3 linked regions of the Saccharomyces cerevisiae S288C genome follow. The gene in region 3 interacts genetically with the main gene of each other region. Each region holds a gene or a part of one and is shown on either strand. Other genes may lie near its edges. The genes, in order: DIA1, BNA3 and SIM1.

Region 1 (9,901 bases), on a different chromosome or scaffold from region 3:
TGTCGAGAAACTATAACCTGCCAATGATGAGCTAACGACAGTTGAATTAATTGCGAGTGACGCACTACTGGTGGAAAAGCCGGGAGTTATCACCGAAGTATGAGAGCTCATGGAGCTAAATGTGCCTGTTGGAACGTTAGAAGCACTTGTAGCGTTGGATGTTGATAAAGAACGGGCAGTAGCTTTATTACTCAAAAGCGATGTACTAGATGTGGCCAAATTGGATTCGTTTGTAGTTTCAGAAGAAGTTATACTAGAGACAATTGATGAAACGACTGAGTTTTTTGTTTTGGTGACAATCAGCGAGGCACTTGCAATGGTGGAATTATTGTCAGATGGCGCACTGGAGCTAGCCAGGTTAGAGGAAATTGATGAAGCTTCCGAAGAGGTGATATCAGACCAGACCGATGGAAGTGGAGATGCGGTTAAACTGATAGACGCTGATGGAGAGGTTGTAACGGTAGAACTATTGCCGAATATTACACTAGACTTACTCAAGTCGGAGGAAGTAGATGAGGTTTTGGAAGTGGCCATTCTGGAATTACTTGACGAAACCTTAGATCCAAGTGTACTAGATGCGGCGGATGTTGTGGTAGAAACGGTCGAATTGTAACCCGTCGACAAAGAGCTTTCAATGATTGAATTGCTTGCTAATGTCTCACTAGAAGGTCTTAGGCTAGAAGTTACTGACGAAGCTTCTGTAGCAACCAAAGTAGAAGTAACTGATGTATTTTTAGAGCTAAACAGTCTAGAACTTGCTAAGCTGGAAATTGCCGATGGAGCTTCCGAACTCACTAGGCTAGACGTTGCCGATGAAACTTCTGAACTCATTACGCTAGATTTTGTTGACGAAATTTCCGAACTCACTGAGCTAGACGTTGACGATGGAGCTTCTGAACTCACTGAGCTAGATGTTGACGATGGAGCTTCTGAACTCACTGAGCTAGATGTTGACGATGGAGCTTCTGAACTCACTACGCTAGACGTTGCCAATGGAGCTTCCGAACTTACTGAGCTAGATGTTGTTGACGAAATTTCGGAACTCACTGAGCTAGATGTTGACGATGGAGCTTCTGAACTCACTACGCTAGACGTTGCCAATGGAGCTTCTGAACTTACTGAGCTAGATGTTGTTGACGAAATTTCGGAACTCACTGAGCTAGATGTTGACGATGGAGCTTCTGAACTCACTACGCTAGACGTTGACGATGGAGCTTCTGAACTCACTACGCTAGACGTTGCCAATGGAGCTTCCGAGCTCACTGAGCTAGACGTTGCCCATGAAGCTTCTGAACTAATTACGCTAGACGTTGCCGATGGAGCTTCTGAACTTACTGGGCTGGAAGTGATGGATAAAATTGTAGAGGAAAATGGTAGGGTTTCAGAAATAGTAGAGCTTGCGGGGCTGGAAGTACTTGATAGTAGGGAAGAAACATCGGACGTGCTTGAACTAAAAACTTCCTTTGAGGCATCGGAAGTAGTACCAACTGAAGTGACAGCCGATCCTGAGGAACTTATCTTTGGAGAAGATGAAACGTCAGTAAGCGTGGTAAATGTGGAGGATGTGACTGCAGTTGTATCAGAAGATGAAGCAGTAGTTTCAAGGACAGAGGACTTTCCCAATGGCTCCGAAGAGGAACCACCTCCATTTGATGAACTGGTTTGCGGGGAAGATGTTTGAATAGCACTACTACTTATGGAGTCAGTCTCTGTAGTGGAGCTGGACAGTTGTGCATTTGTGGAGGAAAGCGCACTGTATGAGTTTGAGGGGCCAGAGGTTGATGATTCGACATCGTTGACTGATGTACTAGAAATATCGGATGATGTGTAAGAAAGAGAAGAAAAAATGGAAACCAATGACTCCGATGATAGAATTGAGGCAATTGTATCAGAGGAGAGCGACGAGCTAGAAGTAAACTCGGGTACAACAGAAGAAACTAATGTGCTAGAACTACTGACAATAATTTCTGGGCTAGTTGTAACTTTAGTGCTTGTCGTGCTTGTCGTGCTAGTGGTAGTAGGCGTAGTTGTACTGGTTGTGCTACTAGTAGTAGTCGTGCTACTATGCGATGTGGTAGTGGCTGTGGTCGATTTTGAACCAGATGAACCCATTTTGATACGGCGCTACCCTTTCTTGTGGATACCTTTTCTATGACAGAATCATTGACAAATCTGAGGGAACAAAATTACCACAGGTGTGAGTGAGACTTTATATAAAATTAATATTTCATTTTTAGCTTTGTTCCACTTGAGAGGAACATGGGCAAAGATAGAGACTAAGAAAACATGTTTTCAGAACTTTACTGTTGACTGCTGAACAGTCTTAGCAAGATGCTTATTTTTACGTGAGTTCTAAGTCGCCGTGGACTGACACCTTCGCTAAATTCACAGGCAATGATCGCAAACGAGCTTCATGAAAAAAAGTTTATTTTGGATCAGATCTGCGCATGGTCCAGAAAATTCGCCTTAACGAAAGGTACACAATTTTGCATTAAATGTCAAAAAAAATAGAATATGCGATACAATTATACCTGAGATGAATTTAGTAAAGTAGGTGCAAAAGATGGTATAATACTTGAGCTACATCTGGGAAACTAAAGCACATTTTACGTTCAAAGCGAATAGTAAATTAGAGAGAACAGTTGCGCGTGGAAGGCACGGGCACCGCTAAATCTAAAGAAATTACATACTATTTCATTCTTGCTGTCATTTTTTCCTCATTAATCACCACTTTTAAGCAGGATATAAGAATAAAAAACTCGATTTGAATAAAAACTATGCTTTCCTTGGTACATACGTCCTTTTGAGTACATAAGTAATGTCAACTGTGTAGGAAAGAGGTGACGTCCTAGGCTCGGCTGTGTGATATTACTTTTTAGAACCTTTTTGATAGAGGCTAAATGGTAAGGAAAGTTAATTTTATTCGAATTTTGGGCCACCTCTCTTAGAAAGGATTACTGCTAACTTCATAGTGTCAGATCACTCGTGTTTGTTCTGAATAATGAGGCAGGCGGTATACGAAAGAAGATATCCTGCTTATTTGGCTCCTATTGTTCAATTAATTAATCGATTGGCCAACGACTTTCCTATCGTATAGAAGAAACTGTTTGAAAAAAGATGGCTTATCCAGGAAGGCGCCTGAACAAGTTCTTGCTTCCCACAGTAAAGAAAAATCAAAATGGCCGCCATAGCGGTGCAGGAAGGTCTTGCCTATCGAGGATATTGTTTTTACTCCAAAAGGAAAGAGGAAAGTTAACAAAATCAACTTTTCAAACGGAGAGTATAACACCCGGAAGTTAAAAACTGTGAGGAAGATAAAAAGAAATCTTCACGAAGTTTTTTCCATTTTGGTGATCTAATGAAGTCAGCTATCACTTTTTTGCGCTACGGGCTTTATGTGACGCAATAGCCCGTGCCACTTTAAACTTTTTTGTGCCTTGGCACCTTTGGCAGTATACGAAGAAGATCAATTAAACAAGAACGACGAGATCTCGGACAAGATATGACAGGGTTTAAAGTTTCTTCTTTTTTTTATATTCTGGCATTGTCCCGCTTTTTCAACGCAGGAAGGGAACGAGCTTGTGATAAGTTAAAAATTACAGTTACACATCTATACTGGTTTATTATACGCAAACTTTTGTTACATGAGGTTCATGTTCATGTTAGTCGTGTTTGCAACGTTTCTTTTATTTTGTCTCCTTGCCTCTTTCGCAATTTTTTTACGTTGTCTCTTCATGTACTCTATGTAATGTATGAGCAGGCTCTGACACCCGAGTTCTTCCGTCAATGGTGGGATATTATTCAATCCAAATGATCCTTGATCTGTGGAATACTCGCCAAGAATTAAGTGGCCCTCTTGAGCGACCCACCTAAAAAGAGATGTTTCAAATTCTCTAGTATAATGAGCTGCCACGAACCTCTGAACTTTTTGATCCTTTTGGTCGATGGACATCTTATTTTTAGCGGCTCTAATGACATCTTCATCCAAACGATTCACTTCATAATCTGCTAACAGAATTAATTTATAATGATCGTTGGTAACTACGGGCGAATAAGTGACATGCCACCTGAGATTTAAATTATTCACTTTAGTGTCCAAATCCCTGTGTCCTTCTCGGTGAGCCATTGCTAGTAAGTTGGGCTCCGTAGACGTAGTCCCTACGAAGCTGTAAGTTACGTTTGCTTGGCTGACATTTTTATATATGTCGTAAAGAGGCACTTTATACAATATTAATCCGTTGTTTGAGCAAACGATTTTTGCCACAGTATAAGGCGGAGGTTCGTCTGCCGTTCTTAAAATAAATTTGAAAATTTTATAATATGGGACATTGCCGACCACAGTATTGCTATGACCTCTTTTACCAAACGGTAGAGTGCAATTGATAATTTGGAATAATGGAATACCAATTGCATCTGGACTCAGCTCATTCGAATACTTTTTAGTGTTTTCAAAATTTTCAAGCGATTGCTGAGACGGAAACATGAAAAACCCATCCTCGCCGTTTATCTCGGCTATGGGCATTCTTCTTTCCCTATTAAAATGAAAGCACTCTGGGACACTTTTGCTATCGGACATTTCAATCTTCAATCTCTGCTCATCTTTAAGCCCATCTGCTGCTTTCTTAAGAAGGTATCTACTTATTGAACCCATAATCAGATTTTTCTTGAAAAACTTTTAATGGAAGCTTAGCACCTGCTTCGGTCTTCTTTATCTTGGCGAACTTTGCCAAATCTGTAGTTGTTTCAAATACTGTCATGTTGGCAGTCTTCTTTTTATATGCGTTCACGCCGATGGCCAAGCCTACAACATTTTCTCAAAAAGGGACCATTGTCCCTTGCTGCGCCAAAAAAAAGAAATAGGCGCATACGTTCCGTCATCTATCGCTCACAAAAAGTGGAACCGGTAGGATTTTATCACTGACACATACCGTTGTACTAAGAGAGCAATTAAGTCGACAACGCAATTGATATGCGCTCTTCGTTATCGAACCCTAGCGGTGTATTTTTCGGACAAACTTACTGTTCATTATGGCCGAATGCTTACCTAAAACGACACTTCTGGTCGTTTTCAACTCTCATGCTCTAAGCAATTAGGCTTTTGGGGCGAAGCGGACAAGCTCTTAAGGCCGTGAATAAAGAAAGGGAGATGAAAGGACGCCGTAGCAGCTGCAATAGCTTTCTTTCGGTCATCAAAAATCCCAGTGAATTCTTGGGGGACACTTGTGGGGTTGCATTACTCGAAATGCTTCGGACGAGTACCTGATTCGTTAAACATATATATATCTCATGGTGAATTGGAAACGGTTGTAGATCTTATATAGGAAAAGTCATTCATAACTAGTTCCATGCCGACTAAGTATTTCGTCCAGGCTCGGCGTTCTTGTTGAACGAATTTTCCCATAATCATCCAGATTTCCAAGAACCTCGCCTTCGTAACATTTTGCAACAACAAGTGGATGGAGAATTTTGGCTATTTTTAGTTCAAGAAAACTTAGAAATTTTTCAACGGTTTTTTATCTCGTTAGTATTATCATTCCAAAAGTATACTTATGTGGGTACATAGTTATAAATATATGAGGGAATCTATCTATTAAGGTTAAAAAAGCGTTACATCGTAAAACGGTAATCATGGCTGCTCAATTTTAACGTAGTCACCATTCTTGGCAGAAGATTTTAAAAACGCGTCCACACAAGCCAAATGGTGAAATGCAGTTCTGGGTGTGCCTAGGTATAAGGATTTGTCCTTCTTGCTGACAGCTTCGTGAAAATTCAAAAATTCAGCGTTGACGCCGAAACTTTCATCATTATCGACTTTAAAAATTTGTTCGTCACCGTTATCTTCAGCTGAACCCCCTAATTTGACTTTTACAACGGGGTCTTTTTTGTCTGATAAGTCAACGGTAACGGTACCATTCTTACCATAGACTTTCAAGAAAACCGACTTTTCGGTAGCACCAAAGGCAGACCCATAAGTAAAACTTCCGATAACCTCTTTATTTTTCAACTGGACAGTAGCAAAGACAATATCATCTGCACCGGAACGTTCACGCACCTGTCTCGTTAATGCAGAAACAGATCCAAATTCACCGAGTAGGGAAATAACGAGAGCTAATTGGTGGACACCACCATCAGATAGAAATCCGCCAATGTGCTCTGGTTTTTGTCTCCAGGTTGTGGTCAAATATTTATTTTGAGTAACAAATGGACCGGTAGAATTGTGGGTGAATGCTACTACAGGACCAATTTTCTCGATCTGCTCCTTTGCGATTTTAATACATGGTAAATATAACCAATTTTCAGCCACACCAACGGGCAATGGGGTGGATTCTGCTATCTTGACAATCTCCTTTGCTTGGTCTAAGTTGGCCGCAATTGGTTTTTCCAAAATAACTGGCTTACCTGCTTTAACTGCCTTCTCGACAATATCAGCATTAAATTGAGCAGGTAGCAAAGCGTCAATGTAGTCGACATGAGGGTCATTCAAAATTTCATCTAGATTGTCGTAAACCTTATTTTCAGGTATGTCAGCAACCTTTGCAAAATCCAAAGCTTTTGCCTTATGTCTGTTGAAGGCGGCAATGACTTTGAATTTGTCAGGAAATTCCTGGTAGGATGGGAGATGTCTATCTCTGGCAAAAATACCTGTACCAACTATACCGACGTTCAATGGGGACATTTTTGGCTATTACTTTACTTTTTGGAACCAAGAAGTGATTATGGGTCTATTCGATGTACAGAAACAAATAGGTTTGAGCGAGTTCGAAAGTTTATCCAGAATAAGTAGTTCTTTTTATAGACGAACACCTATGTATTGTGATACATAATCATGCTGAATTTTCAACAGGGGATAACTCCGTTTATTCCCCGGCGGAGGGCGGAATTAAGCGGGGTTATTAGTTGATTTGGAAGCCACGTCTTTTTTAATTTTGAATGAGAAGTGAGACTACGTACTAAGTTAATCTATTATTATCTTTATATGTAAAAAAACCCCGACCGTGGTGAAAGGCTTCTTTGGTCTTGCTTTGACAATTGCTTAGTGGAAACGATACTTTGTGTCCAGACCTAGATGTATTTAGCAACAGCTTCTCCATCGTAAATTGTAAAAGGCGTATCCTTACCCACGATGGCGATTGAAAGATTGTCTACAGTCAAGGATTCGTCCCTTAGAGACTGGCTGATAGCCTCGACGCCAGCTTTGATTAGTTCATCCGGGTTCCCGTCAATTTTTATAAACGTGTCTAAAGTTCTCTCTAGATAAGTCTTTGCCCCTTGGCTTCTTGCGCCAATAGCTGTACCATATAGTTCTGTGACATTTCCGGAAGGTTGGAATTCTAAAAGATGAGCACCGCTCTTGTCATACCCGATGATCAACAAACCAACACCGTAGGGTCTGCCCCCATAGGATTGTGTATTTTTCTGTGCTTTATCGCAAAGCAAATGACCTGCTCTCTCGACGGCAAGCTTTCTGTTAAAAACTAAGCTGGAGTAATTACACTGTTGTCTCAAATAATTACTTAAAACTCTAGCATCTGGAGCCAACCCGGCTAACGAGAGCCCCATGTGCTCGTCACATTTGATGATTTTTTTCTGGTATGATGACAATTCGTCTGCATTTCTTTTCAACGCTACTAAAACAGCATGAGTGTTCGAACGTAACCCCACAGTGACGCTCCCTTGTTTAATAGCTTCCAAGGCGTATTCCACTTGGAACAGACGGCCTGTAGGAGAAAAAGTGACTGTGTCCCCGTCGTAATTGTTCCTGAACATGTTTTGTAAATATATGAAGGCTTAGTTCAATGTATTCTTACCCACTTCTCTTGAACTTCAATTGATCACCACGTCTACCTAAATGTAGTGGCGTCTTGGTTCTTTTCCATACTTTGACGATACTTTTGAATTTTTAATTTTGCCACTCTATAATAGGGTATGTTCTTTATAGGTCATTTTTACTTTTTTAGTAGGGCATTTTAATAAATACTAGGTTTTTAGTAATTTCGGAGATACTTATCCTAGGTCTGAAAATTCAACCCTAACCCTTTTTTTCTTATGTTTTTTTTTTTCTGGGTAGCAGCTAATAGAAATTAGTACTGATTACATAGAGAAGTACTATGACACAATAGTAAGGGAATCATCTATTCATATATCACATCTTTGAGTTGCCGTTAAGCATGAAGGAAACGGCGCAGGAATACAAGGTGTCTGCTGTAATACCGACCCTTTTGAAAAACTGGATACTGCGTGTAGTGTATGCCACATTGGACCATATACCTCCTTTTGTGTGGGAAATTCTACATGTCATCACCGATATTTATTTCTTCTGGGTTCAAAAGCTGATTAACTATGTGCGGCCACACTCAAGAGTCATTTATTATAACGCTATTAAGAAGTTAGATGAGTGTGATACGTATCAAATGTGGTGTCAGCAAGCGTCCGTAGTGGATGAAATAACAGGCGCAAATTTATGGCGGCGGAATTTCTTTTCGAGGAGGTACGACTTCAATTCTGTCATTGAACAATATAGCATATTGGAAAATATGTTAAGGGAGGAGAAGTATGATGTAGTTAAGGAGAAGTTTTCGACTACAGGCCCTTGTATGTTGAGGAACTTTGCGGGTATTGGAGATAAAAAGTTGTTCACAAAATCTTTGATGGGTACAAAGCTACTTATTGAACAATATTTGACCCGAATTCTAGAAGGCTTGGATATATTAAATAATCAAACTTTAACTCCAACATCCTTTTTCCAAAGATGTAAGTTGTCACTGGGCACAACAGCATTAATCTTGCAAGGTGGTTCATTGTTTGGGCTGTTTCACCTTGGGGTGATTAGAGGTTTATTGTTACAGGACCTGATGCCTAATATTATAAGTGGTAGCTCTATGGGGGCATGCGTTGCAAGTTTATTCGGTTGCTTGTCCAATGAGCAACTAAAGCAATTATTGACCGATGACAACCTCTTGAATATCATCAAGAATGATGTAGATTTATTAAAAAGCTGTGGATACGGTAATTTAGAGCAGCACCTAAACCTGGGGACTTTGATTCAGAACCTAATACACCACGGTTATTCTCAAGACGTTTATCTTTTTATCCGGTTTGTTATGAAATATATTGTTAAGGAAAAAACTTTTGAAGAAGTTTATCAAATTACTGGAAAAGTTTTCAATATTGTTATTCATCCAACTGATAAATCATGCCCTAATTTACTAAATTATGTGACAACCCCAAACGTATTAATCAAGTCAGCCATTGAATGCTCACTTGGTTCTGGTGTAATTTCAGAGGATACATCACTATTATGTAAAAATTTAGAAAATGAAATTGAGCCTTTTCTTAACATCAATAAAAATAAACAAGTCAAATTTCTTACCCCAGAAAATGCCAACAATCCGAGCATAACGGAGAGCCCCTATACTAGGTTAACGGAACTATTCAATGTTAATAACTTCATTGTTTCTTTGGCGAGACCATACTTGGCACCATTGGTGGTAAATGATTTGAAGCATGAAATAAAAACGTCAAAATATTACTATTATAAGCATTATCCAAATATGCCTCCTATAAACGCGAATACAGTAAGAAAAACACAGAGATCCTCTTCGCAATCACCCATAAAGGCAGGAACTGTCGAGGATCTTGAGCCAGAGCCTTTAATGAGCCCTGTGCCCCCAAGTTCGGCAGTCAACGATTCAGCAGAGTACATAATCCCAGAATTGGGCATACCGCAGTTGAACTTTACTGAAATGGAACCGCTGGCGTTTAAATTTAAGTATCATCTGGAAAGAAAATTAAAAAATATTGCCACTATGGAATTTCGACATAGGATGGAGGTATTGGATAATTTAGGCCTGTTGTGCTCATTAATAAAAAGACTAATAATTGATGAAAAGACTCCCAGATC
Region 2 (11,427 bases), on a different chromosome or scaffold from region 3:
CATACTGGTGAAAAACCTTTACAATGCAAGATTTGTGGTAAGAGATTCAACGAATCGTCAAATTTGAGCAAACATATTAAGACCCATCAGAAAAAATACAAGTGCTCTGACTGTTCCAAAAGCTTTGACGATTTGGGAAAATTGAACTCACAGAAAGTGAAATGCGCATTGGAAAGAAAACCATATTTATAAATGTGATCATCATGGTCCAACGTAAGAAGGGCGGTTTTCAGGATCACATAAATGCATAATTAGAAACATTTCATATTTTACCTAGACTACTTTTTATTTATAATTTTTCGCAAACTCTTTTTTGTAAGCTTTTACAGTACACTTTTTTTACGTAATAACGTATTTCAAGCTTTATTTTTTGTATACGTTTCAGAAAAGGGGGTGGGGGGGAAGGACATTGTATATATAGATCCTATGAGTGACAACTAGGTAACCGAAGAAACACTATTAGATATATAGTTTGAGGGATAGCATAAGTAGAACTTAGAAATGAGTTTAGTACCATATGAAGAAGGTTCGCTGATTTTAGATGATCCTAATTCTAAATCAGTGGTGGTTGTTAATCCAACCTCAGGAACTTTATCATTTTTCCAACAGGACAACAGTAATAATGACTCTGAACTAAATGAAGACCAGACTGCATCTTTATCAGCACTGGACTTTCCTTCAGGGATTCATCAATACAAAAGCCCTATTGCTTCCTATGTGTGCCCGCAATGTGGTACGGAAATTAACCCTGATATTATAAACAGAAGACAACTTCATCGTCGAGCCTCTGCTGGAGTAGAATCAGAAAGCAGTAGGCTCAGTATTCCAGAGAACACTGTGCCACTTGGATTTGAATTTGCCAATTCAAGCTTTTCAAGAAGATATTTTCAGTCATTGGAAAGAAATCATCGGCACTACGCCCTACAAAACGATAGTAACAATAAGCAGGGACAGTTCAGCAAAAACAAATACTTTATTCCAGATGATTTGTTTATCCCCGGATACTTTCGTAAATTTTTCAAAATATTGTCTTTGCTGGGAAATGGTGCAAGAGGTTCTGTTTACAAAGTTGTACACACAATTGGTAATACTGAATTAGGTGTTTTTGCACTAAAAAAAATACCTATTGGAAATGATATGGAATGGTTTAATAAGTGCATACGGGAAGTGAAAGCGTTGAGTTCGCTAACTCACAAAAGTGCCAATTTGATTACGTATAATCATGTGTGGCTCGAAATGGATTCTTCGGTTGGATTTGTCAGATCCATTGATGGGAGCCAATCGGATTCACAAGAAGAAGTTCCTTGTATTTTCATTTTACAACAGTATTGCAGTGGCGGCAATTTAGAAGACTGTATTCTAAGAAAAGTGTTCAATAGGTTCTCAGATACCGAATCACCTGAAGAGAGGAAAAAAAAATTTAGAACTCGCAAGAAAAATCACGGTAAATCAGGAGAAGTTGGCCTATCTACGGAACAGCTCGTATCCATTATAAGGGATATTGCAAGAGGTTTACACGAACTGCACAGTATTGGCCTAATACATAGGGACTTGAAACCATCCAACTGTTTATTATTGACTCCATTTAAAAGTGACAATGAGAATGACAACGTATACGACAGGGAACACAATTCAGATGAGTTTTTCCCATCAATTGTTATTGGCGATTTGGGGGAAAGTCAGTTGGAAGGAGAGTCCAGATTGGGTACTGGTTGCACAGGAACATTAGAGTTTACAGCACCAGACCTTATTATCCAGGGGAGACCAGTTTCTTCTTCTACGTTGCCTTCAAGATCGAGTCACACATACAATGAATACACCTTTGCTTCCGATATGTATTCTCTAGGAATGATTTGCTATTTTATTGTCTTCGGTGAATTGCCCTTTGAACCACAGTTGGATATAGTTGATTTGAAGGTACGCATCAAAAATTTTAGGTTCGACACTGAAGGTATGATTGAAAAGCATCAAGCGATGAAATTGAAACCAATAGACCGTAGAATATTTCACCTAATGGACGCTCTTTTACAACCAAATAATGATGCTAGACCCACAGCGAAGACAGTGGAGGAGACGTTAGATGAAATGCTAATAAATTCCAAACCCGGCAAAAAATTCTGGAAAGAAAATGTGGATAGCACTTTGAACTTCAGTACAATCTCGGAAGTGAATGAGAATACCAACAGTTTTACTGATGATTATATTGACGGAGACAACGTTACTTTATCATTACCAGCACCAGAGGAAAATTTGAGCACCGTATCAACCCAAAACCTCCAAAAGTATTCTGCTTTAAATAGAACAATCCAGGTTTGTTACAAACTAGTTTCTATGATATTAACGATAATCATATTTAAGTGTACCAAAACGGGGTCGTGGCTCTCTTATATGTCACTGATATTGTTGGGAATGGTTTTTAAATCACCAGCTGATGAAAGAGGTAAGCATGCAAGAGCGTTGGTTTTACTGGCCTTCATCGCCGCATGCAAAAAATACATATACTAACAATAAGTACACATTGCAAACTAAATAGCACGTAATTTATTTTTACTTTACAAATTTATAGAAAATATTCTCGCTTATCACCAATGTTCACGAATCATCTTCACCTCTTCTAAGGGCCGGTGACAAAGGTGCATAATGTTAGAAAAATTGACCGATGAGTAAATTTATAGAGGGAATAACCAAATGAAAAGATCTAGGTGACAGAAACGCCAATTGACCTCTGTAGAAATAAAGTTCTTTCATTATGACAGCAGAAGATATACTCCTTCGAGAAAGAACATCTACTACGACACAACGCCCTGTCAATAGCGAACAATACCTTAATGTGCAATTAGCCACAGCCCCAGTAAAAAATTTTCAGACTACAAGCGAGATTAGCCGGCAAACTCTTGTAGACACATCAAATGATGACGTTTATTCCATCAAGAATTTGAAGGGCTCGAGGAACCCCATTAGCCCTAGTGTTTCTAACGTTGGCTTCCAATCCATATTCCATACAGTAGATCATCCTCGATCGAAGGTCAGTGTGGCCTCAAATCATTCCTTGAGGAGCAATGACAATGCCTCAGCTGCAACATCTAAATCTGGTTCTTCTCAGATAGGGGAATCTCATAGCGTTGACACGGTGGAGTGCTCGAACAATCTATCTAAAAAGTTATCTTCTGATGCAATATCCATTACTCAGAAAAGTTTACACTCCACGCCCTCCGGCAGGTATATGAAAGGAAAGGCTTCTGGCTTTTTTAATAGGAGAAACAGAGCACATACGACCATTTCATCGGATCCTGCCTCCTTTTTGACAGATTCAAGCACCTTACATAATAGTTCACATTCATTTCGAAACGTGATTAAGAACTTTTTCCAAAATAAAAGCCACAGGCACATTGGTCAAGATGCTATCGAGCCTGCAATTCCAAATTCCTTGAGTAAATTTCTGCATTCCTCTTACGGAAGACATAAATCTCCGTCACAATTTATTCATACTAATGCGGGGCAACTTGTGGACTCAGGAACTTCTGTGTACTCATTGAATGTTAATCCATCTGGTGTCAATCCCAACACAATCGTTGAGGATCCGCTTTCTGGAACTGATCCTGCCTCACCGAATCCGGTCTCAATGTTACACGACCTTTTAAGAAATTTACCATCTCTGGAAGCTAACTATAAACACTTCAACTCCCAAGAACTGACAACCCTAACAAATAATATTTGGAATATATTTTGTAGTAACGTAGCAGAATTATTCAGAACTCAAAGAATATGGAAACTCAGGGCCAAAATAGAAAATTTTAACGAAGTTTTAGAATTCTATTGCATTTTAAAAACAGATCCAAGAGTCACACATAGCGGCATGAATAGAATTATCAGCGATTTGAAAGAATTTTTGGTTAGTTCCCTATACAATTTAGAAAACCAAATTGTTTTTAACTATTCTAATGAAGACACAATAAATAACGCATTGAAAAGATTAGGCGTTATATGGCGGATATTTTATCAAGAGGTATATTATGATTTAGCCGCTGTGTTATTACCGTTGGATCAGAGTATCAGAGAAGATGGTAATTCTACGGTTTTAAAGTCAGGCAATGAAAGTCGGACTCACATTAATGGTAATTATTCTATTGGGTTTCTTTTGCTTATGTGCTTTAGAGATTCAATAGTCTTACCTTGTTATGAAAACTTCGTAAATAGTAACGATGGTATCAGCAAAAGTTTTCAACTTTACATTTTCAATCAAGAAGAAGAAAGTAATGTCACAGAAACAGATAAATTGACATTACTGCAGTGTTTTGGCATATTGAGTACCATTCAAAGTAATGATAGAAATCAACGAATTATCGAAGAGTTATTAGCAGGCATTAGAATGAGTATATAGAAAGCATCTAACACTTTATTTCAATCTCCTATTTAATATCACAACAAAACTTTATTCCATCCTACACCAAGGTCTGTCATCGGCAATTTGATGCCTACAAAGTTTGGGTTCTAGCCCCAAACCAAGTAACGCAGCCAAAAAAACGCCAAAGGAATCAGCGATGGACACAGCACCCATGGCGAACTCTGTTTCATCAGGATCCTCTTGTTCGAGAATATTTAAGAATGTGTTAACATATGACGCACCACCAAGAAAACCCTCATAGAATATTAATATCATCACCGCCCAGGGCGAATGTGTGACATAAAACCATGATTGCAGTACCGTTATGCACAAATTCACACCTTGTAAAAACGCTAAGATGTATAAACTCCTCATTCTCATAAGATGTCCAAAGGATCTTGATATAAAGACACCTAATTGGTAGAGCGTTCCATAGGTTACGTATATATCTCTGTATTTATGGAAGAAAAATGGCATCGATTTACTTCTTTCATCACCATTAATCGGAAATAATAGGGTCGGAGCTACCGCTTGGTTTATTAAATATTCGAATAAGTAGACGGTGGTCAATGGAACCATGTATGGAAAAACCAATCTTCGAAGTCTCTTGACCGTTTGCAAAATGTGCTGTCTTGTAGAATACAGGGATTGCGAAGCGTTGGTATGTGTAAAGGCGACAGGAAAGGGCACCAACTGGTCATCCTCTGCTTCGTCAATTTGTTGAAGACTTTGGTAAGTCAGGTTGGTATCATTGGATTCTAATTTAAAATAAAACAAAAATGCAAATGGAAGGAGACTAAATACTAGTAAAGTTAGCTTCACTGGAACTTTAAAGATTGAAGTTAAGAACATATAAGATGCTCCGCCAATGATTCCTGCACCACCAGTACCTGACGACCATCCATTCAAAGAAATTTGTTTGTAATAGTGTGTTAGCTGTAGGAATGTCACTTCTCCAAATCCGGAAGATATAGATGCGAAAGATATTCCTAAAAGACAAACAAACAAGTTTTTAAAAGAAACTAAGAACATTCCTAAGCAACTCATCGTGATCAAAGACCATATTCTATAGCTGTACTTGATTCTATCAATAAAGAATGGGGAACACAATTTAATGGCGAGTGATGGGAATATATCTGCTAGCAATACTAGAGATTTAGGCAAGGTAGGACCCACGATATCAACAGCTGCTGAAAGTATTACCACATAAAGTACATTATTGATCAAACCAAAGAGCCAAAAGTAGCAATATATCTGATGAGATTTGTCACTCATTTATATTTACTTGCGCTATATCTTCATATGTGTTTAAGTACTCTATAAATACACTGTTCAAAACATTACTAAATGTTCATATTGTCTATTTTTCATTAAGGGTTCACTTTTTCTTGTAGTACGCGAAGAAAATATGGAATTATTCTGGAATATTGATGTTTATATTTACCACTTCTGCATAAAAATATACATGCTTTATAAAATCTATATATTGAGAAAAAGGAGTATAAAAAAAAATTTATCTTATAAGTAGTCCTTGAGTAGTTTTAATCTCTCTACGGCATTTTCTAGATAAGCATCATCTTTACAAACTGCAAACCTTAACAAATTCTCAGCAGCCTTTTCGTGCTCTTTGATATAGAATTCAGTTGGTGGAATGGCAACCACACCTAATTCATTGATCAACCAGTGAGAAATGCGAAAATCTTTTCCCTTATTCAGGATCTCCTCTGGGTAGGGATAGTCCTCGGGAATTTTCACTTTAGAGAAATCAACGAGGACAAAATATGTACCCTCTGGAGCTGTATATGGTAGTCCCAATTCATCAAAGATCGATGTGAAAATTTTGAATTTGTTGATATATTCCTGTCTCATTTTTTCAAAATACCCAATTTTTAAAGCGTCGTTAATAGAGTTTGCACAAGCTTCCTGTAGAGGGGATGGAGATGCAAAACAAATTCTTGTATGTGCCTTAGCTGCATAACTTAACAACTCTGCGTTCAAGGATAAGACCCAACCAATTCTCCAACCAGTAGCAGCAAACGATTTACCGGCAGAACCGACCGTTAAGGTTAGTTGCCCAATTTCTGGAGAGAGTGTGGCAATTCTAGTGAAAGAATCAGTGAAGTAAAGGTGTTCATAGACTTCATCAGATATAATCACAACGTTGTGCTTGACGCAAATGTTACCTAAAGTGGTTAATTCCTCGCGCGTGAAAACTTTACCAATTGGGTTGTGAGGGGTATTGATAATGACAGCTTTTGTCTTGGATGTAATCGCTTTTTCGAACTGCTCAAAGTCAATGGTCCATTCTTCACCTCTAGTATTCCTTTGATCCAATTCCTTTGGAGGATTTATGGGGACGTAAACAACTTTACCACCGCAAAGTTCGATATTTGGAATATATTGGTCAAAGAAAGGTTCAAAAACAATAACCTCGTCGCCAGCGTTCAAAAGCCCCATCAAGCAAGAAAGTATACCTTCATTGGCACCTGTTGTTACGGTAACATTTTCCGCTTTCAATTCTGTGTTATAAATAGGAGAATACAACTTAATCAAGGAATTAATTAATGAAGGTCGACCTCTAGTTGGAGAATATTGATTGACCATTGGAATGTCTAGGGCTTTCTGAGCCTCCTTAATGGCGAATTGAGGAGGGGAATATGAAAAAAAGCCTTGGCCTAAATTAATAAGTTCACGGCCTTGGTTTTTGGAGTTATTGGCAGCTTTTGCAGCGGCTTCATTGGTTAGCGACCAAACATCTTTGGCAGTGTTAGAAGTGAAATATTTGTTGGCAACAACTTTCGGTCTCGAAGTAGACATTAGGTTCGTAAATTGACGAATGAATCGTTGTTTCATTGAGAGCAAGTAACAATGGATTCTATACGCAATTATAGTAAATTGAACACTTTATATATATCTCTATCGTACCTTCCCCTTTTAAACATGACTGAATTTTGGTATCTTGATTGTCATAATGACAACAAAAAAGCCACAGTTCTACGTCACGTGCTAGACACGACATGCTACTGAAGAAATTGTTATCAAATGAAAAGATACATTTATGTAATAACCACTACCAGGCACTTGCTAAAAAGAATCTACGTAAGAACTACATAAAGGTTAGCTTGTGCGCCAGAAAGTGATATCAAAGTTTTATGAACGCTGAACAATTTTGAGCCAGTAATTATCTTGGCATAGGAGACGATAAATGCCATCGTTCTTTTAAAGAGCTTATTAAGTTATTAACTCTCTTCGATTAGACATTCTCTTATCAAACGAGTTACGTTACATTTAGGAATAATGCGACAAAGATGGAGGTCTTGATTCCTAAATCCTACTCAAAACAATCTGCTCTACTGTCAAAATCCTTGCTCCGTAAATTGATTTCGTTGTCAGACGCTCACCGTACAAGAAGTTTGTGGGTATTTACATCGTAAGAAAAGTGCAACCAGATTCAATATTGAATTACCTGAGCGGTGTCTTCCTATATTAAAATGACGATTTTGTTTTTCTTTGTATTGTGAGGGTAGCAGATTCGTCTTCTGCACTTTTCATCTACTATTGCAAAGCCTAATACAAATACAGTTGTTGAATATAAAAATTCGAAATCAGCCTTCCATTCTCGAAAGTGAACAAGGAAACTCACTGGATAAAAATTCACACGAAAAGAAAAAACCGAAAAAAAGTAACTGTGTTGCTTGCAGAGGGTTTGATTACTCATAACCGAGAGACACGATCTGTAGCGGTGATATGAACGTATTCCTCACCTTCTTCTAACCCTTTGGAATAATAGTTTCCATCACTCTTTACAAAAGTAGCATTACTCACCAAATAAGGTCATAAAAAAGACTTTTATTTTGTATACATGTAAATTTTGGCAGCGGTTAGTGAGGTAAAAGAGATACGAATGAATATACGATACAATGATACAGCATACTGAAAAATCATCCTAACGATTTGGTGCACAGAAGGCTTTATATATTGACCAATTCATATATAATGTCCTCTTGCTACATGATATTATACCATTGCCCAGTTGTTTCTTAGCGTACATATATGATAGCAGACTATGCAAGTCGCTTACTCATTGAGTTTTAGTAGTAAATTCCTGAGAAACTTGTAACAATTCTTCATTGCATTCTTTAATTATCTTTGAATCTATTTCAAGCATTTTGCGTAGCTCATCCCATTCGTTTTGGCTCTTTTTATCGACTTTGATAGTTTCTGCCTCGATACGAGTTAGTTCACTCTTCAAGTACGATAAATCTTGTTGAAGGGATTTTTGAGAGTGAACAAAGCTGTTGAATTGCAATATTTGGTTTCGTATCTCTTTGAACCATTTCATCTCACCATGGCTTATTTTCTTTTCTTTAAATTTATTGGATTCGGCGATTTGAGATAGCTTCTTGCTCAATTTACTAAATCTCTCCATTAATTCTGACTGTCTGCTTAGTTGTGCATCCCATTTCTTATTTTGTGCTTCGAATTTTCTCCTTAAATCATCATCCTTTGAAATTATTTTGCATGTCGATTGTAGTTGGCGCGTCAATTCGAACTGTTGCTCATGAATTCTATTGTGGATAGAAACACCCAAAGTTTGAGCTTTAACAATTCTTTGCAAAAATTCTTTGGAAATATCCGTGAAAATTTCCAACTGATTTTCACTAGCTTCGTTTTTTAAAGGTATCTGGCGGTCTGCTGATGGGATAATTCGTTCACATGGACTAATACAGGCTTTTTGAAAATTATCGTTCAAAATAAGAATCTCATTTATGGGCTGTGTGAAACTCATTTTAAAACCATCTCCTACCGTGTCACTTTTTTCTGTACTGATACTTGTTTCAGCTGCGGTGCTTTGCGGTTTCATATCGCTTGAAATATTTTGAAAAGTCAATGTTTTATTCGACATCAAGGCTAAATTAGATTGGTCATTCCAGTTGATATACGCTAGGTTTGGAATTCTTTCTATGGTGGCAATATCCTCAAGTTTACTTTCAAATTTCAATCCTGCAAGTGGATTCAAATCCGATTCGTTGATACATTTACTCAATGTAGAAGCCCAGCTCATAAAATTTACTTGTTGTATAATATTATCGGAAATGACATAAAGTTTTCCCAACTGTTCAGGTAACGTTATTAGAGACTTAATTTCTCTTTGTAGTTTGACTCGTTCAATTAGAACCAAAGAATTATTATACACGTAATTGTCAACATCCCACGACATTGACATTTCCAAATCTTTGAAGAGTAAGATTAAAGACCCATCATCAAAACTGACACAAACAATTTCATTTTGCCCATTATCAATTAGTATGGTTGCAATATTTGTAGCAGTATAGTCATACAGCTCGCCGGGAAAGGGGTTTATCGTGAATGGTCCTTGAACCTTGGCTAAACGATATTCCTTTTGTATGTCGACTTTGCCAAATCTTGAATTCCAATTTTCATGCAGTTTTGACACAAACTGTAACTGCTTAATAACATTCCTTTTAACTATAACATCTGTTGTAGAATCCAGGGACTCGTACATTACTAAAGATTTGTTTAGGATCAAGTTGAGATCTTTCTCATTTAACAGTAATACTGACGGTAAAAATGGATAAAATGCAAAGATATCACCGCCTTCTGTGGTGTTTAGACAATATAACGTCAATCCGTCCTTACTGAATTCTAAATCTGTGATGTCGTTAACACGTGCATCTAAACCAAAGGAGTTGTTCGGTTTGTTCAAAACGATAGGCTTTTCTTGCGAATTAAGGATGTCAAACATCGTGATAGTGTCATCCTCTTTCAAAACCACTATACAAGAATCACGATAACTCTTTGGATGAAACAAAACTTTCTTAATGGACGATTTCGGACCAACTTCTTCTTCATCAATTGAATAGTGGAAAATTTGGAATGCATCTTGAATGGAAACGTCTTCAACGTTGGAATAGCCCCAAGGAACTTCCATTACAAAAATCTCGTTGTCATTGAAAAGACAGAGTAGGTCACCAGACGTACTAGATATTACATGGAAGGTATCATCCAAGACGAGATGACGACTAAAGTTCAAACTGTGGTAAAGTGAATCAGTGAGTACATTGTACCACCTTATTATGTTATCTTGAATGAAAACAATCCTTGTGCCATTCTGAGAACTAAAAATGTAACGTGGAGATTGGCTTGCCGAAAGCGATGCTTGGAAAATAGGAAGTGCACTTAACCTACTAGATTGGGACATACTTTGGAGTATAGAATTAAGCCACCACTCAATTATCGCTGTCCTTTTGTTGCTTAAATATTAAATGCAATTAGAATATTTGAAAGTATTCAACTTTTTTATTGAAGTTAATTTTTCATTTTTGCTGCCGCGAAAAGAGAGAAGGTCGATAGTAGATTTTTTTTTTTTCACTTGTCTCAGTATGAATCTATAAACTATCATATATGTATACATATTTAGACCACGTGAACAATTCTATGTTAATCAAGAGCGCAAAGGAGGGCCAATTCAGGTAACCAGCCATTCAGCAATCCCATCACAAAATTCCACCCAAGAAAATAACATAATTTTGGACTGAAAACGGACCAAATAAAGAGATGAAATCTCAAAACGACGCATGCCGTCATCAAACAAGTTCCAAATATACAATGATAGGTGAAGGCAGGTAACTTACTTCTGATGAACGTTTGCAACTTAACTTGTGCTGGAATAGAGGCGTAGTTTATTGACCACGGTAGCATGGACCAGTATATTGCCGGCGCGAAATTGGCAACGGACATTAATATCCCCACTACGTAGATGTTGTAGTCTGAGGAAACACCATGGTATGCGTTTCCAAGGTCTATAGTAGAAATGGAATTTGTGCCACCGAATTGGAAAAATGTAAAATTTTGTAAAATTAAGGACACCAAATTCGAAAAATAAATCTTACTTGTTGATGTTAATGAGGCGGTTGGAATATTTTGGAAAAAGTAAAAAATTTGGGACTCTAATATTTGGAAAACGAGAAATTGACCTATGTTCTGAGAAGAAGTTTGGAACATCAAAAGAATTGTTATAT
Region 3 (11,277 bases):
CCTGCTGCCTGTAAACACCTTAAAGCCAGGATTTGGGCGTAATTATGTGCACATGCCAGTCCGATGCAGGCACAGAAGTAGGCTAAGATTGCCCATAATACAATAGGCCGCCTTCCAAATGTATCAGCTAAACCACCCATAATTGAAGGAGCCACCCCTTGGAAAATAAAATAAACCACAATAGTGACATTAGCTAACTCTTCTGTGATGTTAAATTTCCTCTCAATAATAGTAAGCACTGGATAGTAGATAGACCCTGCCACGGTTGAAAAAAAGCCTGTGAAGGCACACTGAACGACAAGAAGCATTTTTTGCTTATGGCTGAACCTTGAATAAGGCACCATATCAAAATTTGATTCGTTATCTATTTCAGAATGAGAATTAGATCTTTCTGCGTCGTTGTCACTGATGGCATCTGAGCTGGATCTGTCCACATTATTATTATCAGATCCTTCACGTTCTTCCTTGGCTATAGATGCGTTACGCATTACAGAAGTTTGTTGTTTGGTCATGATTTACTTATAGAAGTCTCTTCATGAGCTATCTGTTATTTTTTTATTAATAGAAGATGGTAGTGCTAAGAGATTATCACTTTTTTTAAGCAAGAATAAGTTCCTTTGAACGCTGATTGCTTGCTTACTTTTTTTGTTGTAAGAAGATTTTTTTGCTACAGTGATAGAGATTCTTCAAACCTTTCAGCTTCACCATGGTTTTATCAACTAGAAGAAACTCCAAGATCAGAAGATGAGATAAAGGGTCCGTTAACAACCGGGCCAGAAACATGAAACCCGAATCTCCGAATTTCGCACCTCCAGCATATTTTCGGCCTTGGCAAAAAATGGCGGAGAATAATAAAGGCAAAACTCAGTACTAGCCGTTCTATGTTAGTGAATCGTGCTGCTAACTCTAATTTTAGTTATTACAGAGTTCAGATTAAAAAAAAAAAAATACTTACTATTACTTTCTATTTGAGAAGACTTATCACACCAATTCCTCTTTCTCGGTAGTGGAGCGATCAAAAGGAACATTTTCCTTTGATTCAAGAAGCTTTACTTCTTAATTTACTCCCAGTTCTTGCTTTTTCCTCTTAAAGGCTAATTCTTTACCTTTTCTCAAGAGAATAAATAAGAGGATCGATGACGAGGAGGTTAAAGCCCCCAAAAATGTAAAAACACCTCCGAATTTCATTTTTTCTACCATTTTACTCAATGCAGCTATAAACACAGCAGATAGAATGCATCTGAAAAGGTTTAAACATCCCGTAGCCGTAGATGTCTTCGTGGGAAAAAGATCAACTATTAGAGTTGTTGAAAAAGTCAAAATGCAATTGGAAAACAGCGACGCAAATCCACTCATGCAAAGAACGGCCGCTAAAGGGGCTTTGACAGTAATGCACCATCCGTACGCACAAAATCCGCTACTGCTTAAAAGCAAGGTAACAAATGCGGGTTGCAACCTCGCCTTGAAGATATTAAAGGTGTATTTGGGATCATTTTCTATGATACGTTGCACCAAATTAAGGTCGTTGTCGTGTTCTTCTAAAAGCTTTGATCTCTTCTTGCCCAACCAATTTTGGTAATATTTTAATCTGCGCCTGTAATTCCAATTCAAATATCTTCCAGCAATGACAATACTACATAATGTGCAGATACCGGAGGGAAGGTAGCATAATCCTACCTTTGCAACAGTCAAGTGATATTGTTTACTCAAAGCTGTGGATAACGCCGTAAGGTGCGTAGTATACATGGCAAATTGTAATCCAGCGACTAGCATAAGTATACAAATTTCATAAGCTTTCAAAATCTTGAAGGGCGCCAGTAGATTTAGTTGCGTGGGCAGTTCCAATGTTTCGTAATCTGGATTATCCAAATGCAATGATTTTCTTACTGTTGGCAAAACAAGAATGGGAGCTCTATTTAAGTATGATTTTGGGGTGACAGAACCATTCCCGGATATGTTCCTCTTTGTTTCTGGCAAAATTAAAAACGAGGCTAGGAAGCAAATGCCAGATCCAATTGCTAAGAACCAAAAGATGGCTCTCCATCCCCATCTAGATGATAATCCGGCACCGATAAGGGCTCCGAACGCAGAACCTAGAACTTGAAATCCAGCAACATATCCAACGTACCCGCCGCGCTCGGCTCTAGTAGTAACATCTCCCATTATTCCGCTGTTAATCGCAATCACGGGTGAAATACCGGCGGCTTGTAGACATCTTAGCACAATGATCTGAGCATACGTTTGAGCACAAGCAAGACCGATGCAGGCACCAAAATAAATGACGATTGCGACAAGCACCACCGGTCTCCTGCCCAGTGAATCGGCAAACCCGCCCATGAATGTGGGGGCAAGACCCTGAAATACAAAATATACTACAACAGTGACATTCACCAATTCCTCGTCAATATCGAATTTTCTTTCTATAACGCTCAGAACTGGATAGTAGATGGCACCTGCTATTGTGGAGAAAAACCCAGTGAAAGCGCACTGAGCTATTAAAACTGTCTTGAAAGAACGGGAAAAGCGTGAGTGAGGCGGAGCGGTTATCTCCGGTTCTGGCTTTACACTCTCGGTCCTAGTCAAAGCCAATTTGTCTGCAGTTTCTCTATTATATGACTGCATACTCTCCGCAAGCTCGTCCTCAAAATCATTTTCCCGAATTATACTTGATGTTGCTCCTGCCATCGTTGCAGTACTCAAGTTTGAGAGCAGAGTTTCTACTAAAATGACCAGCAACTGACTTGCCGTTTTTACAATGTATATTTATATACCCCATTATCTAGAGATTGCTTCTTTATCTAGGAAAAGATGGTGACGCCGTTTATCTGTTCTGTAACCGCCATTACTATTTTCATCAGGGCCAACAAAAAAAAGTCCAGTAGCTCATACGACATCATCTGAGCCAAGACACATTTTCTCGAGAAAAATGTGGTGAAAGGCACAGATTTGGGGGGGAGGTCAGGATGCTGAAAAATTATTACCTCCGTCTTACGACCGCTCAGACGGGTAAGAACACCGGGGGTGGACAAGACAGTTAAGCAGACTGAATCCAAAATGACAGCATATATTATCAATATCCTGTTTATTCATGATTGAAATGAGATAAGGAGTAAAGGCAAAGAAATCGTAATAATAACACTGTAGCATATATATGGATATATATTTTTTTTTGAACTGAAGTAAGGTGGACGGATGCATCGAATGAAGGTTAGGAAGGGATATAGTTTTAGAAATTAGGTGATAAAAATGAAAATTACTGCACGTCATGTGGGAGGAGGATGTTTTGGTGTATGAATGAGAAAATTGACGGGCCTTTGGGACGAAGCCGGCTGGGGATTTCGCATGGGCGACCTAAAATTTGCCATGGAAATATTGGCACTTTGTGACCTTCTATGACTAAAACTTTTTCTTGACTGGTCTCGTTCCTGACCAGGTTGCAGCTGGTGCTGCTGCCCGTATATATTTGCCTGTGGGCCCATACTCATTACCGGATGAGCACCTATATTTTGTTGGTAAAGGCCATGCTGGTTCAAGGAAAGAAACTGTGAGCTCATCACTGGTGTCTGGGACTCCGAGTTTGAGCTCATTGTAGGAAGCTGAGCTTGTGGTCCCATCCCTGGTGGATATAAATACTGCGGCATTATCTGTTGCACTTGTGGTTGCGGAGGTTGCATATACGGGTTGCTCATCCACTGATTTGCAGGCATAGGTAAAGTATATGCGCCTGGTTGCTGGTGTATTTGAGGGTATCCGACCCCTGTCTCAACTTCTGACACTGTAGGTATATCAGATCTATATCTTCTATGGCCTCGTGGACTTGCAAGTTCGGAGGCGTTTATCTTGCGTTTCTTTGTCGTTATCGGAGACGGTATCGTAAGATGATTGTTGTTATCATTATTTGTATCTCTATTCATGGACATATCAAGAATCTTGTTTAATGTCGAATCACTTATTTTATCACTTTCCATACATTTATCAATAATCTGGTTTAGTTTCGCAAGATTTGACTCGCGTATCTTTTCTAGTTCTTTTGTGTCGTTTATCAATCGTACGTTTAAAAATTGCTCCACTAGGCCAGTGTCGCATGCATTTAGTTCTTGAATATCGTCAAACCCAAGTTGTTTTAATATTCTTATTCGAAGCGATAGAGACTTTTCTGTTTGCGATGATTCCACTGGTCTACTGTTGGTACTCTCGTCTCCTGTACTAGCTGTCACGGTTGTACCAGAAGATAATGAGGTATGCTGCTCTCGTTCAACAGCCATTGGTCCTTTCGGCTTCTCTTTTTCTTCGGATTGTCTATGTGGCTCCTGCTTCATAATATGGCATCCACTTTGATTTTCGTCTTTACTTATTTTTTTTCAATTTCTGCAATTAATCGTGGGACTCTTGAAATGTTTTGCGCCTTTTTGTATGAGTTAAGCGCAGGGATTGCACGCAATTTATTTCCTCTTCTGCGTAGCCTTTAAAATACGCGAACCTTAAGTGATATCAGTACGCGATTTGATCTTAGTTTTACTTATCTGTTAAAATAAGATACCTTGGGTTCCCAGTGTCTTTTCTACTATTGCTTCACACCTTATTATTTTTGTGCACTTTTGCTTTTATGAGAATAGGCAGTGCATACCTTTTAATTTCTTAGCACTCTGAATTTTCCAACCTCTACGAAAAAAAAGGAAGAACTTACAAAGTTCCCCCATCTGAAGCAGTAAATTTCCAAAAATTTTTTTCACCATCCGCATTTTCCCTTTTTGATCCACAATTGCCCAAAACAGTAATATTTTACGGGTAATGGCGGGGCAAAGCTCATCTCCGCAGATCCTCTTCGCGCCGACAGGCGCTGGGGGCTGAAAACACTACGTGCGGAAAGTTGTGCCTTCATGTCCTGATTCGGAAATGTGATGATTTCGTAAACCTACACAATATCCCCTTTGAGACTATTGCAGAGCTGCATATGTACTATTTTTAGCTGTCTAGGAACAGGCTACAGTAAAAGGAGGCCGGAAAGCTGAAGATGAAAAGAGTTCTTAAATTTCTTATGGGTATCGGACAGTATGTGTTTTCTTATGTAAATCTATTTAAAATTGTTCCGTCTTTGAAAATCTCTCTATCCAAGAATACTACTTGCTAGTTAAAGATAATCGTAATGAATCTTGGCTATATTTGGTCGTCTAACAAGTTCACTTGGATAATGGTACAGAAACATTGAGGCCATTAACGAAAAGAAAAAGGTGGACAGTATAAATATCGGTAAAAAGAAAAGGGGACCATAGTGATTGTGTGAGGTATAGGGGGTGAGATGTGTTCGAAAAAAGAAAAAAAAAAGGAAAAGTAGTAGTCACGTAGCTTAATTGTATAAGACGAAATGAGCTTTACCGGAAGTAACAGAGACGGTACACCCGTCAGCACCGCCAGAGAACTCACCATTTTCGTAAACACATTCACCGATGACATTGGATGAATCATCAGCAGCAACTATCTTGACGTTGTAGTTCAATGCGTCGCTGTTGTTTGGGTTAGGAATCAATGATAAGTATGTCACTCCACCAGTGGAGCCAGCACCAAAGTTTAATGGTGCCCAGTTACCAATACCAGATCCAGAAGTACCCCAGATACACCCATCTTCAACTGAGACGCCGGCGTTATTAACGTAGTATTGAGCAGATGTCTTTTTGCCTTCCCAAGTAAAGTAAGTATCTTGGTCAACAACGGTCAATGGCAAAGAGCTACCCCCTTCAACATAGGTTGGGATAACCATGTTTTCAGTGCCCGGGTAGTCGGTTCTGCAAATGGCGACACCCTTGCTTAGTTTAGAAACAACATAGGCAGCCTCGACACCCCATTCACATAAGTAATCCGCGTCAGTGTTAGAACGGTACAAATAACCATTTTTACACAACAAACCCCCGACAGATCTACCGTCAGATGGTTGATCGGATGGCCATTGGGTCTTAGACATACCTGGTTGGCAGGAGTAGGAACAGTAGGACCCCTCCTTGCATGAACCGCCAGTGGAAGTGTCGGTGTTTTCCACACCGGACCATCCACCCTCGCCAATCCAGTCAATAGAAATGACACCTTGACCAGATGGGAATTTGTCACATGGAATAGTGCCGTCTTGGAATTTCTCACTTGGGCCTGAAAAGTCGGCCAAATCACCGTAGATACTACCACTGCCAGAAGAAGAAGAAGAAGAGGAGGAGGAGGAGGAAGAGGAAGAGGAAGTAGAAGAAGTGGAAGTAGAAGTAGAAGTAGATGGTGAAGTGGAAGAAGTACTAGATTTAGTGGCAGAAGAAGCACTAGATTGGGTTGCGGAAGAAGTTGACACGACAGTAGATGTTGGAGCAGCTTCTTCACTAGATGAAGAAACAGAGCTGCTTTCTAGGGTAGAAGTTGCCGAGGAGGAGGAGGAGGAGGAGGATGCCCCTTGAGATGTTGAGGCAGTGGCAGATGCAGCGGCATCAGAGATTTTCTCATTCTTGGCTAAGGCAGCAGATGAAACAGCAATGGAAGCGGAGCTATCCGCAGCGGCTGCGGAGGAGGTTGGAGCCAACACAGATGTTGTAATGATAGCAGAGGTAGCAGCAGTAGCGACTTCTGAAGCAGCAGGAGTTACAGTGTGGCCATCAGAATCGACAACAACAGTTTCGTAAACGTATTTGTACGCAACGGCCCTCTTATGTTGGTGGGCATCTTCTTGGTGAACATCCACGTGTGGTAAAGCAGACACGATGGCACCAGAACTAATCAACGTAGTAACGGCAGTTGAGAATTTCATTTCTGCAAAAAAATAAAGGATTGGATATTAGTTAGTAAAGTGTTTTTTTTTCTCTTGTTTTACCTCAAGTATTGCTTTTCTTACACAAAACCTTTCCAAATGCAAACCAGTCTACATCTTATTTAAGATATACACAGCTGCTATGCTGTGCTATGCTGAAAGCATTAATGGCTATTTTCTGGTTCTTCCTAATGTAGATCTGAAACTTCTATTGACTGACGCGAAACGCCAAAAAAAGGCATGTCCGGATCGGGAAAAAGTGTCCGCATCAGGAAATTTTCCGCCGCAATTTTCGTGACGAATGTCGTTCAGGAGAAAGAAACGAAGATAAAACCAAAAATAGCGGTTGAGCACGACTAAACTAACGTTTTGAGGACGCATTGGCGGTATTGGAAAGGGTTGAACTGCTGCAGAAGCTGAGCAAGCCTTGGTATTCATGGCAATACGGATTGTAAAGGTGTATGAGAAAAATTGTGGTAAATAACTTACTAAAAATAAAGCTCAGGTTAACTTAAATATTGTGGTTTTTAAAGGAATGTAAGTAGTTGGGTAGCACTAAACAAATGTTTTCTTGCTCGCTAGTTAATTTTTATAAAGGAAGGACTGTAAATAGTTGGAATTCGAGAGGGGAGCAAAGAAACTGTTTCTTTCAGTTCAAATGGTCTTGCTATAGTGTCTTATTCAACTGAGTAGATATATATATTTGAATATGCTGTTCTCACTTTTGAAGTAAGAGAGGGAATGCGAAGATAAATACAGAATAATTTCATGTAGTTTATAAATAAACAATGGCAATTTTGAAAAAAAAAAAACAACAAAGCACGATGCGAAATGAGCGAATTCCGTCCCAGCGCGTTTCAAACGGTAAGAGCAAAGAGAATGAGTGAAGTGACAGGAATTTGGCATACTGGTACGACGAGACGTAAACAATACTTAAAGAGCAGTTGAACATTAGCATTAGAACGATTATTAGCTATTGATGTCCTGACGTGGTGTACAAACTATACGGAATCTTGTATATAAATATAGGTAGCTATTGACGATGGTGAAACACTAATCGTCCTTATTCTTCTGTTTCGACTTCAAAGCATTATTAACTTTGTCCAATTTAAATTTTTTGGAAAGTCCTTTTTCCAATAGCCAGTAAGGAACAAATATCATGACAAAACGCATGATGTTGGCGAACGTTCCTCTATAAACATCTACAGGGTCACTAGTGCTCAAGATATCTTTAACCAGTTGCTTTGCGTACGCATCAGCTGGCATGGGCTTATTGTCCTTAGCCATGGTTTTTCTTGAATTAAAAGCTTCCCTACCTTCAGGGAAGTTGTATATTGAGGTTTCAGGCAAGGGCCTTTTATCAGCGATATCAGTAGCCACACCGCCAGTAATAGCGTTAATCACTCTCACGTTGAAGGGCTTCATCTCTAGATGTAACCCACGAGCATATTGGTGGATAGCAGCTTTAGAAGCGGAATAAATGCTACCAAAGGGGAATGACACAACTCCTGCCAAGGAACCAGTGAAGACAATGGTTCCTTTCGCTTTAATAAGGAACTCCGACAATTCACGGCACATGTTGATATGACCAAACACATTGACCTTAAAGCATTGTTCTACTGCAGCATCTGTTGCATCCAATGCAGGGAATGTACAACTCTGACCGGCATTGTTGTACAATAAATCTAATTTACCATCAGGTAAATTAGCTCGCAAAAAACCAGAAAATGTTACAATTTCTTCTGGCTTGGAAATATCCAACTTATATGGTTTGATACTATCGTTACCAAATTGGATGGCCAATTGTGCCATTGGTTCTAGTCTTCTTGCACATGCATAAACCAAATAGCCATTTCTGGCTAATTCCTTCGTTACCTCATATCCAATACCACCTGAGGCGCCTGTAACAACGGCAATCTTTTTAGGTTGTGACTGTAACTCCGACATACTCTTTGAAATCCTGATCAATATTTGAATTGAGTATATATTAATAGAAGTTGGGCATGATGAATAAAACTTATTCACTCTATTTACCTACCCCCTTCCCCCTTTCCATTGACTTATTTTTCACTTTTTTTCTCCACCGGATGAGGACAAGAGAAGCACCTAGCTGTGAATACACCAGAGGAGGAAGTAGGGGGAAAAAAACGATATCAATATAAAGTAAAGAATGATTCTTGAATAAATAGTAAATACAACTAATAAAAAAAGGTTCACATAAATAAAACGTTAAATTAAATAATTTTAAAAAGACTAAGCAGATGCTAACATCATGAACAAAAAAAAAATGTGAATGTATCAAAAAAAATATTTGTTAGATCATTCTTCAAGTAAAAAGGCTGTCCATAAACATTAAGGTAAAAATATTACGTGTTTATATGGCTGTATTTTCATGTTTTTCATATTTGAATTCATCTTTAGGATTGTTGGAAAACATCTTTCAAAAAGGCATCTTCTTCGGCCAAATGTAGTGATTTGCTACCGGCAGCAACAGCACCACTTGGGTTTCTACCACAGTATCTGACCTTGAAATCCTTATATTTATCCGTTTCTTTTAATGTTGTGTGTAAGCGTGGTTCTGTGTATGCCCACGAACCCATGTTCAATGGCTCTTCCTGGCACCAAACAATTTCTTCCAAGTTTGGATAAGAATTTAATGAATCACGTAGCTGAGCAAATGGGAATGGGTGCAGCTGTTCAATCTTTAAGAAAGCAGTGGTCTTATCACCCAAACTTTCACGTCTTTTATGTAGGGCAGTGTACACTTGGCCACTCAGCAAAACTAATCTCTTGGTTTCCTCTTTCGTACCAATACTTTTTCCATGTTCAATATCTTCGATAATCCATTGGAATCCGCCTTCAGTGAATTCGGAAAGAGATGATCTGGCCAATGGGTGACGCAGCAGCTGTTTAGAAAAGAATAACGCCAATGGTTTACGGAATTGACGATGTTGCTGTCTCCTTAGAATGTGGAATAAATTAGCAGGCGTAGTTGGATAAACAACCTGGAAATTACAATCCTGATGTTGTCTCTGTAGCTTTTCTTCAGATGGGAAATATCTTGGGTCTTCATTGGCTAGTTGCAAGAATCTTTCCAATCTACCAGACGAATGTTCTGGCCCCTGGCCATCATAACCATGGGGTAAAGACAAAACTAAACCAGAGCGTTGCTTCCATTTTTGTTCACCACCGGCAATAAATTGGTCAATAATAACCTGTGCTGTATTTGCAAAGTCACCGAATTGAGCCTCCCACATGACTAGATAATCTGGGGAGGTTAGCGAATAACCATATTCGAAACCCATTACACCGTACTCAGATAACGAGGAATTTGCAATGGTGAAGTCTGCCTTTTCATTATTCAGAGTGCTTAGCGGTGTGTAAATGGCTTCAGATTGTTGGTCATGCAAGACTGCATGACGTTGAGAAAATGTACCTCTTTCTACATCTTCACCGGAAACCCTAACGTTCTGACCATCCAAAACCAATGTACCGAACGCTAATGCTTCACCGGTGGCCCAATCGATGCCTTCACCTGTCTCAATAGATTTTCCTCTATTTTTCAAAATTCTCTTTAGATTTTTGTGCACTTCAAAACCTTCTGGCCACGAAGAGAGTACCTTACCTAGTTCTTTCAAAGTACTCTCTGGAACATTAGTTGGTTCATGTGGTAATATCTCAGTGGCCAATTCCTTTGGGGATTTGAATCCTTCCCAGGCAGCAGTTAACCATTCTCTTTGAGATGGGACGTAATCCTTTGCCTTTTCGAAAGCATCTTCAAATAAGTTCCATACCCATTTCTTGTGCTCATCAATATCTTTTTTAGAAAATGTGCCTTCACTTATCAATTTTTCCGTATAGACGTCAATGACAGATTTTTGTTTTGCAATTTTTTTGTACATTAATGGTTGAGTAAACGATGGCTGATCGGTTTCATTATGTCCATGTTTTCTCCAACCAACGACATCAATTATGGCATCTGTGTGGAACTTATGTCTCCATTCTGCGGCTAAATTGAAAATAAAGGTCACAGCTTCCACGTCATTAGCGTTAACATGGAAAATTGGGGCATCAATGGCCTTAGCCAAATCGGAAGGATATGGTGTGGACCTTGCAAATCTTGGATCCGTAGTGAATCCGATCTGGTTGTTTGTAATAACATGAATAGTACCACCAGTAGAGTATTCTGGTAGGGTCAAGAAACCCATGGTTTCATAAACAACACCCTGCCCAGCAAAAGCAGCATCACCATGTAATAACACACCTAAGGCCTTTGTTTTTTCCTTCAAATCGTTCTTGGCATGCAATAAAGCTCTAGTTCTACCAAGAACAACTGGATCTTGGGATTCTAAATGAGAAGGATTTGCCACCAGCGATAAATTGACGTACTTACCAGACGTAGTTGGTCTTTGGTAGTTCATACCCAAATGGTACTTGACATCACCCGATCCTTCAATATCATCGCGAGCGCTCGAACCCTTAAATTCAGAAAAAATAGA

Evidence for each region.
Region 1: mutations in SIM1 (region 3) and DIA1 together harm fitness more than expected from each alone (negative genetic interaction), as found in Saccharomyces cerevisiae (one large-scale study listed by BioGRID).
Region 2: mutations in SIM1 (region 3) and BNA3 together harm fitness more than expected from each alone (negative genetic interaction), as found in Saccharomyces cerevisiae (one large-scale study listed by BioGRID).

The regions. Positions count from the first base shown.
Region 1 is NC_001145.3:899,575-909,475, reverse strand, and holds DIA1 (Dia1p), read right to left. Parts: upstream 4,652-9,901; coding exon 3,641-4,651; downstream 1-3,640. Other genes in the region: YMR317W (uncharacterized protein), read right to left, coding at 1-2,112; YMR316C-A (uncharacterized protein), read left to right, coding at 3,503-3,814; YMR315W-A (uncharacterized protein), read right to left, coding at 5,083-5,190; YMR315W (uncharacterized protein), read right to left, coding at 5,627-6,676; PRE5 (proteasome core particle subunit alpha 6), read right to left, coding at 7,063-7,767; TGL3 (bifunctional triglyceride lipase/lysophosphatidylethanolamine acyltransferase), read left to right, coding at 8,169-9,901. UniProt on the Saccharomyces cerevisiae protein: Involved in regulation of invasive growth.
Region 2 is NC_001142.9:319,196-330,622, reverse strand, and holds BNA3 (kynurenine--oxoglutarate transaminase), read right to left. Parts: upstream 7,238-11,427; coding exon 5,903-7,237; downstream 1-5,902. Other genes in the region: ZAP1 (Zap1p), read left to right, coding at 1-192; protein kinase IKS1, read left to right, coding at 502-2,505; BIT61 (Bit61p), read left to right, coding at 2,750-4,381; amino acid transporter YHC3, read right to left, coding at 4,433-5,659; linker nucleoporin NUP82, read right to left, coding at 8,466-10,607; mannose-ethanolamine phosphotransferase LAS21, read right to left, coding at 10,847-11,427. UniProt on the Saccharomyces cerevisiae protein: Catalyzes the irreversible transamination of the L-tryptophan metabolite L-kynurenine to form kynurenic acid (KA).
Region 3 is NC_001141.2:123,652-134,928, reverse strand, and holds SIM1 (putative glucosidase SIM1), read right to left. Parts: upstream 6,779-11,277; coding exon 5,348-6,778; downstream 1-5,347. Other genes in the region: QDR1 (multidrug transporter), read right to left, coding at 1-512; QDR2 (cation transporter), read right to left, coding at 1,057-2,685; POG1 (Pog1p), read right to left, coding at 3,264-4,319; AYR1 (acylglycerone-phosphate reductase), read right to left, coding at 7,832-8,725; alpha-ketoglutarate dehydrogenase KGD1, read right to left, coding at 9,196-11,277. UniProt on the Saccharomyces cerevisiae protein: Involved in the remodeling of the cell wall during the various phases of yeast culture development and under various environmental conditions. Required for the maintenance of the CLB5 kinase activity.